2 linked regions of the Mus musculus genome follow. The protein of the gene in region 2 purifies or fractionates together with the protein of the main gene of each other region. This does not show direct contact. Links are inferred from orthologs where the notes say so. Each region holds a gene or a part of one and is shown on either strand. Other genes may lie near its edges.

What was found.
Region 1: the proteins of L3mbtl1 (region 2) and Anapc1 purify together in Homo sapiens (affinity purification with mass spectrometry; 4 studies listed by BioGRID and IntAct, counting the BioPlex papers as one, with this or other methods). This does not show direct contact. The link is inferred for Mus musculus from reciprocal best matches to the Homo sapiens genes L3MBTL1 and ANAPC1.

Annotation. Positions count from the first base shown.
Region 1 is NC_000068.7:128,631,870-128,635,683, forward strand, and holds part of Anapc1 (anaphase-promoting complex subunit 1), read right to left. Parts: intron 2,904-3,814; coding exon 2,769-2,903; intron 2,647-2,768; coding exon 2,564-2,646; intron 1,547-2,563; coding exon 1,468-1,546; intron 804-1,467; coding exon 729-803; intron 1-728. UniProt on the Homo sapiens protein: Component of the anaphase promoting complex/cyclosome (APC/C), a cell cycle-regulated E3 ubiquitin ligase that controls progression through mitosis and the G1 phase of the cell cycle.
Region 2 is NC_000068.7:162,941,929-162,946,467, reverse strand, and holds the start of L3mbtl1 (lethal(3)malignant brain tumor-like protein 1), read right to left. Parts: upstream 3,004-4,539; 5' UTR 2,928-3,003; intron 2,041-2,927; 5' UTR 1,875-2,040; exon of another isoform or gene 1-1,874. UniProt on the Homo sapiens protein: Polycomb group (PcG) protein that specifically recognizes and binds mono- and dimethyllysine residues on target proteins, thereby acting as a 'reader' of a network of post-translational modifications.

The sequences.
Region 1 (3,814 bases), about 34 Mb from region 2:
TCTTGTCAGCCAGCTTGTGCAGGGGATCCCATCTCTACCTTCTTCCACCATAGTTTATATGGGACTTGAGGACCCTAGCATTTCAGAAAGCACAACCACACAAGTAGAGCATACGCAGTGTAAGCTTAGTGAAGAAAATTCTAGCACTATCCACTCCACCACATCAGTCTATCCGATAGCCAGGAGGGGCTCAGAAGGAGCCTGGGAAGTGTGAGCACTTGCAGGACCAGGCCACCTCAGCCATGACCACCCCTACAAAGCAGTGCCAGCCTGAGGGAAGACCTGGACATTTTAGCTGTGGTTTTCTTGCTTCCAAGGCAAGTACTTTAGCTGCTGTGTCATCTCTTTGACCTTTAGTATAAACTCGTAAAATTAAAGTTCCTCTGTCTTGTCAAAAGATCCCCCTAAAGATGAGCAGGAAGATTGCTCAGCAGTTACAAGTAAGCACTGCTCTTCCAGGACTTGAGTTCAAGTCATAGCACCTCTTATAGGCAGCTCACAACTGCACATAACTCCAACTCCAGGGGATCTGATGCTTCCTTACGCACCAGCATCCACATTTAAACACACATGCTTAAAAATGATCAAAAAACAAATCATGAAAAAGAAGATACCTAAGGGTAAACAACTGATTCCACAGGAAAAAATATTCTATAGCACTTTGGAAAATATCGCAAGAAATCACAATTTATGTTATTAATGCTACAGTATTTATTGTCTGTACTTACCTGAGGAACATTGCTGTCAACCCACTTGGAATTTGGTAAGATATCATCCCACAAAATCAAGCACCGAGCAAGTGTCTTAAAAATGAATTACAGACAAAATTAATCAGGCAAAGCTCATGTATTTCCCAATAACTGTAACAGTAAACAAACTAAGAATTCGTTCCCAACTAACAACTACTTTAAAACACAGACTATCAACTAAATATATCAAAATAAAGACTTAGATCTTAAAGAAAAATTTAGTTCATCACGATCCAAGTATTGAGGGTTTGGAGAAGGCCTTCTTATACTGTGAAAGAAAAATCACAAAGGAAAGAGCCACAGCTCAGCATACATGTCAATCTAAAAGCTTGCTAAGTTCAAACATAAAAGAAATACAGAACAATTTTACACAGTACTAAATGGTTATTCTAACTACAACCATAACAGTACTACTACATCCCCAAGGATACTAAAAATAACAAGATCCTGGTCACATGCTGCCTTTTAGTGGGTTTTTAATAATAATAATATAAGAAATGTCATTACAAATGTCATTATTATCTATCACAGTGGCCACCTTTCCTAGCCCTTCTAAGTTCTTTTTGGGAAACTTCAAAAGAACATTGCTAATCAGAAAAACATGACAGGCTAAAGTAAACCCTTTCGTGGAAAGGCATTTAGATTTGCAGCTAAACTTGAGGATCACATACAGTGCTCCCCTCATGTCAAGAAAAACGAAAATGACAAAGTACCATACCCTAAGCAAAAGGAATTCTGGTTTCACAAAGTCTAGCAAATACATGGTATCAGGAGCACGCAGCCAATCAGCAATGGACCTGTTGGCAGAGGACACCAGTCAAGGAAGAGGTCAGGTATTCAAATATCAAGACATCAAATCATCTCTCTCCTCCAACAAAGGTCTAGCTTTTTCATAATGTTTCACAAATGCTTATGTAATATTTATGTTTTTATGTCTTACTATATAAATAAGTTCCATGAAGGTCTGTTTAGTTTGCCTTGTTCGTTGAAATATCTCCAATATCAGCTGACATACATTCATCCAAATAGATTAATAATATCTTTTGCCACTTTGTTAATTCTGCATAGAATTTTCCCAAATGTAAGAATTGAGAACACTGGAGAATTTCATGTCTCAGAATATTTTTCAAATTAAAAGTATTAAGGTGATCTGAGGACATAACTCAGGACAGATTGGGAATATAGAAGGTTTAATCACTAGAAAAGCTTCTAAACAAAGCAGAAACCATTTTTATTAATGGTAACCAAGTACAAAATAATGCTAAGTATTCCTGGCTGAACAGTACTCACAAGGATATGCAAAATTACTGAAAGGAAGTAGGCCGTTCTTTGGGCTTGCCCTCTATAACCTTTTCTTCCACATCCACTTGAAAATACCAGAGGGGAGAAAAACTGACATTTAAATTAAACACAGATGGTCTTTTGATTTTTGAATCATGTTTCTCTATACAATACAGCATTAACAACCATTTATATGGTAAATACAAGCATATTTCATATTATAATTAATCTATAGATTTAAAGTAGCAAGATGAAGTGAATAAATTACATGTACATCTCATGTATTTATGTGACAGGCCTGAACATTTGTGGGTTCTAGTGTCTGTACAGTTCTGGGACCAATACCCTGAAGACACTGAGACAGGATTCCTGACGCACACCATTCCCAAAGAAAACAGTGCTACACAAAGTCTACTCAGCCCCATTACCCAAGAGAACAGACATCAGGCTGCTCTAGTACAAATGAGGAGATTGTACTGCTGAGGGCAAAAAGGCTGCCATGTATCATGCAGGACAGGTGAGGGTGCTAATACCTGTTATTGGTTTTTAAGTAGATCATAGCCAACGCCAGAGTAGCACCGGGACAAGTCACATCCACGTTTATGGTGTCTCCTTCCTGGGGAGGAAAGTTACTCATGTAAGAGCTCCAGCACACTTATCGCTGTTGGTAGCAAAGCCACTGCTGTGCAGCTGACATCTCAGCCTGTGGCTCTGATCCTTTCCTCTGACTTCACTTACTTTGATCTGATAACTTGGAGACTTATGTTTCTCCCTGTGCATTCCAGTTTGAAATCGCCTATGGCCTCCAACCATGTACTGATACAGCTGCTCAGGCACATTGAGATCAGACATGCCAATCAAATTGCTGCCATGCTGGAAAAATTAAATAACTGAGATGAAAATAAGCCTTAACAGGAGGAAGTCAGGAATACACACTCATGATAAACAAAGGGACACAATTCAGAAGAGCCTATTTTAATTTTGATGTTTCTTCCAATTTCAATAAACATACACATTAATTAATGCCAAGCTATTAATTCTCATAAAATTATAATGTATTTTTAGATCTATATACTTTTGTTTCATAAAATATATGAAAAAAATCAAAAGACGTAATTAGACTAAGAGTAAAAGAAAATATCAAGTACATATTCAAAACCTGAACTGTGAACACCCGAGTACTTTCATTACTGCACCAGTGATCTCCTCAAGCAACCACAATAACTTATTGAATACTTACTCAATACCGTATTTAAAATGAATTCACTCAACTCAGAAGCCCTATTTGTCCTTCTCAGTTTTACTTGTTACAGCCTAAAGTCACCTGAAAGAAAAGTCTCAACTGAGGAATTGTCTAGGTGAGAGTGGCCTGTGGACATGTCTGGGGGTGCCTATGACCTTGATTATGAATTGATGTAGGAGGCTCCAGCCCACTGTGGGTGGCACCATCCCTAGGTAAGTGGTCCTGGGTTATAAAACAACACTAGCTCAGCATGAGCCTGTGGGCAAGCCAGACAGTAAGCCAACAAGCAGCACTCCTCCATGGTTTTTGCTTCTGGTTCCTGACTTGAGCTCCTGCCCAGCATGGATGGGTAAGCAGCAGTAAACCCCATCCTCCCTAAGGTGTTTTTGGTCAGAGTGTTTTATCACTACAACAGAACAAAACTAGGACACTACTGAGTAGCTACTAGTAAGAATCTCATTTATTATGCAGAAAGCGAGGTACAATTTAACACAGCCCAAGGTTACCTAGCTACTAAATGGCAAGGTTGTATATCAAACAC
Region 2 (4,539 bases):
AATGGAAGAGAAGAGAAGGAATTGTATTCTGTGGTGTGATTGCTACTCAGCGCCTCCTAGCAGCGCTTGGCAACGGCGTCTGGCATATATGATAAGGAAGGAGTAAGGCTTAGCTTAGGACGGAGTTTTTGAATTGGTCTCTCAGCGTCTCTACATTTACTTAATACCTGTGATTGCAGATAAGTAACTTTCCCACTCTGAGCCCCAGATTCTTAAGTGTAAAATAAAATAAAAATGATGATGGCACCTACCTCGGGGGGCTTTGGTAAATGCTGGATGTGACGTAGCGATACCAGAAGGTCTTCAACAAATAGGGATCCTCTCGCTCCCTTCAGACAGAAGCTCCAGGGAGCTTGGCAGCTTCCAGCCAGTAACATGGACCCTGCCTACTTGCAAAATCAGGTGCAATGGCTGCTGTTTCGTGCCCACCCTCCTTCCCTCCTGCTCGCCTTGTTTGTTCACTTATTTCCTAGGCTTTCCTCCCTAAAACACAGAATATGTTATAGATGTCTATCATTAAAAGTCTAAAGCTGTGGTATAAACAGGTAGACAGGGTCAAAAAAAAAAAAAAAAACGAGTGTTTAAAACTTGCAATCCAGAATCCCCCAAATTTCAGTCCCAATTATTTTGCTTTTCATGGCTGAAGAGTTTGTACCACTTAGAAATATTTACTCTGATTTTACGTGTATGGTTGCTTTTGCTGGAATGTTTGTGGGCACCACGTGTATGCAGTACCTGTTGATGCCACCAGAGGGCTTCTGATTCCCCCCCCCCCAAGCGGCACCCCCCCCCCAAGCAGCCCTGCCCCCCCCAACTGAAGTTCCAGATGATTGTCAGACACCATGTGAGTGCTGGGAACTGAACCTGGGTGGTAGGCAAGAGCAACGAGTGCTCTTAACCCTGCGCCATCTCCCCACCCCCACCTTTGCATCATATTTATTTATTTATTTATTTATTTATTTATTTATTTATTTTTGTAGTTTTTCGAGACAGGGTTTCTCTGCATAGCTCTGGCTGTCCTGGAACTCACTTTGTAGACCAGGCTGGCCTCGAACTCAGAAATCCCCCTGCCTCTGCCTCCTGAGTGCTGGGATTAAAGGTGTGTGCCACCACGCCCGGCTTACTTGGGGCTGGAGAGATGGCTCAGCAGTTAAGAGCACTGACTGCTCTTCTGGAGGTCCTGAGTTAAAATCCCAGCAACCACATGGTGGCTCACAACCATCTGTAATGGGATCTGATGTCCTCTTCTGGTGTGTCTGAAGACAGCTACAGTGTACTTACATTAAATAAATAAATAAATAAATAAATAAATAAACAAATAAATAAACAAACAGACAAATCTCTTGTTTCAAATACTGGAGAGATCAAGAAGAGTGGCTTATTCAAAAAACTTTGTTTCAAAAACCAGCCCCACGTAGCAGGTGTCTCAGAAGAAGCTGAAGATGGCCTTTCTAATCCAGCTAGATGCCTGGTCTCAGCAAGTCCAGGTCTCAACACTGCACTGCACTCTGGGGGCTATAGGTGCCACCAAGACAAGGGGCTCTCATGAGGCTTATACTTTAAAGATAAAGGATGAGGTTGGAGCTGGGACGGATTTGAAAGATGTTGTGTGACGATGGTATTTGAAACAGAGAAATGACTACAGGGAAAAGAGTGGAGCCTTGGAGAACCCAAACATGTTGGGAGGGCAAAGGGGACCCGTGTCAATGAGAGAAAAGCATTGAGTGAGACCCTTCTGGAACATAATGATAACTGTCAGCCATCAGCCTCAGGCTCTCTACAACTGGCCCGGGAAGTGTCTCTCAAGTGCTCTCTCCCTCGGTCAGCCATACATGATTAGTTCATAGAGGGCTAGAAAGACCCCATGCCTTTACCTTCATTTGAGGGCTCTCTTCCGGGCCATCTCAGGTTCAGGGCTTCCTGCTCCTCAGGCTGAGGCCTCTGCTGGGACTACGCCAGCATTTCAACATCTCTGCCCAATCTTGTTGGTTTCACAAGGCTACTCTCATAAACCTAGTCTATGATTCCAGGGAGTCCTACCTAAAACAAGAGTGGTTGCACACAGTAGATGCTCAATAAACTATTTCTGAATGTGTCCCTGCTGTTGTCACTTGCTGTCGAGTTTTTGATGGATAGACAGGCACACACACACACACACACACACACACACACACACACACACACACACACACCACACCAGAGTTTTTTGAGACCATAATACAAACAGCAGACATCCAATAAAAGCCCCGGTGGTAGGTGCTGGAGAAACAGGGCAGCTAGTGGTGGATGCACACAGCACACTTGGGGGTGGGGTGGGGAATTCCCCCAGCTCGCTCTCTGCCGCAGCTAGCCGGTAGAAGCAGTCCTGAGCGGCTGGAGTCTCCAAAACCACCACCCACCTCCTTGGGACTAATGCAGACAGTCGCGGGAGGGGCGGTCACTGATCTGTCCGCTCTGCAGAAGAGTTACTTTCTAACCGCTAAAATGGCGGAATTCTTTACATCACCCCCCACCCCCCCTTTATTTCCAAAAATTTTAAAATCCTGTTTTCTGCTAAAAATATTGAAGATCAATTACAGTGGAAAGTTTGCCAAATGGCCTATGGATAGCCCACACTCGCCCTCCACACCCTCTTATTAATGGAAACTCTTGATAGCATCTCTCTGCAAGGCCGAGGCTCTGCCCTCCCTACCGCTCTGGATGCAGAGAGTGTCAGTGGGCTCGCTCGCCAGCAGCCAGCAAGCCCCCACCTGCAGCGCCACAGCCCAGAGTCTGCAGAGCCACCTCCCCAGCCCACAGCCGGTGCCGCAGGAGCTGGAAAAGGACCTGGGGCGGTGCCTGCGGGACCCCAGGATTCGCCGTGAGGACCGGGATTGGGGTGTGGCGACCTGGGAGCGCCCAGCCAGAGACCACTGCCCCGTTCTTACCTGCATGGCTAGCGGTTGCCGCCCGCACCGAGCGACCGACCGTGGGAGCCTGGTGCGGCGCGCGCCTGCGCACACAGGGGGGCGGGCCTGTTCCCTGCAGAGCGGGCGCCGAGCTCCTTTGCTGGGGTGGGGGGTCTGCATGGCTATGGCCTCAGGTTGCAGCTTTTGCTTTCCGTCGGAGCCTGGGGGTGCAGGCTTAATTGCCTCTTCCCGTAAAACCCGCTTGCTGCGCTGGAGAAGTGGGTGGAGATTTTTATAGTATCCTGGGAACCACGGAGCCGGGAGAAGCAGGAAGCCTGATGGATCTCCTCCAGCTGGTCTGTACCCGGCAAGGCTGCAACCCTGCCTAAGTCGGGTTCCCCATTTGGAGAAGGGGACTTCAGGAGTTTCAGGGAACTCCTAGGATGGGTGAAGAGCACGCACAGCCAGAGCAAGGAAGCCATGGGCTTGGCTTGGCATCAAGCACCCCAGCCGCACCAGCCTTTGGATGACCTATTAGTTGACGATGTGCCCTGGAAACATCACTGTACCTTCTGCGCTTCCATTGAACATTGGAAGACTATTATGCCATATTCTAGAGTTCGAGAATGGTTCCTTTTGTGTCGATTTGAGCAAATGTGCTCAAAGCAAAAGGCTCCTCTTGTGCCTTCCATTTCCTTAATTGATCTGTCGCTACCAGACCGCTACTTTTATTGGTTCTAACTCTGGCACTGCTACTGCGTCTGTATCATCAGAGACCTGAGTAACTCAGGAGTTTAAGAGACCCTGCACTCTAGGAAGGAAGCCCACCACTTTTTAGTATCCCCGGTTCCGAGCAAAGTGGGTACTAATAAATGTCTTCTGATTGACTGATCCATGTGAAAGAGGTTAACTCTTAGCGCCCCAGTTCCCGCTTACACACTGATTTTTAATTCTACTCCCTTATTTTGCAGAAAACAGGTCTATTTGGCTTAGGTAGTAGCCATCAGCCAAATCTTTAGACTTAGCCCGGATGAAAAATACTCATTTAAATGGTATATTCTTCCAATTGCTGTGATCAAGTTTAAATTTATGTAGATCTTAACTATTCGTTACATGTGTTCTGCTTTGCCTCCATGGTTTTAATCATTTTGTATTTTTAGGAACAAGATTAGTCAGAAAAGGATGGAGATAACCATATCCATAGAAGACTCTTTATACACACATCACTGTTTTCTTATTTCTATCCAGACTCTACTTATTTAAAGATTCCAAAATGGTTAAGTATTAAAGTGGTAAACCTATTTGAACACATGGTTTCTCAATTACAAATCTTTTTTAGTGATTCAAACAGATGCAGTGAATTTGAGCAGGGAGGACCCAGACAGCTCACAGACATCAGTTGCTACTTTTTGCTCTTTTACAGTCACTGGTCTTAATACCTGACTTGCTCATTCCAGCACCCTCAGGGATGGAGAGACCCTTCCAGGCTGAAGTGATGTGGGCAGCTCTGCCCCTATGCTCACTGTACCCTGCGGGCTCCCGCCTGCTTTTAGGAGGAAGTCCAAATGTTTCCTTTATAGTCCACCTTCTTCCCAAGAGTGGGCCCAGATGGTGTTGCCATACAGAGGTGTGGAGGGAATTGTTTGGAAGC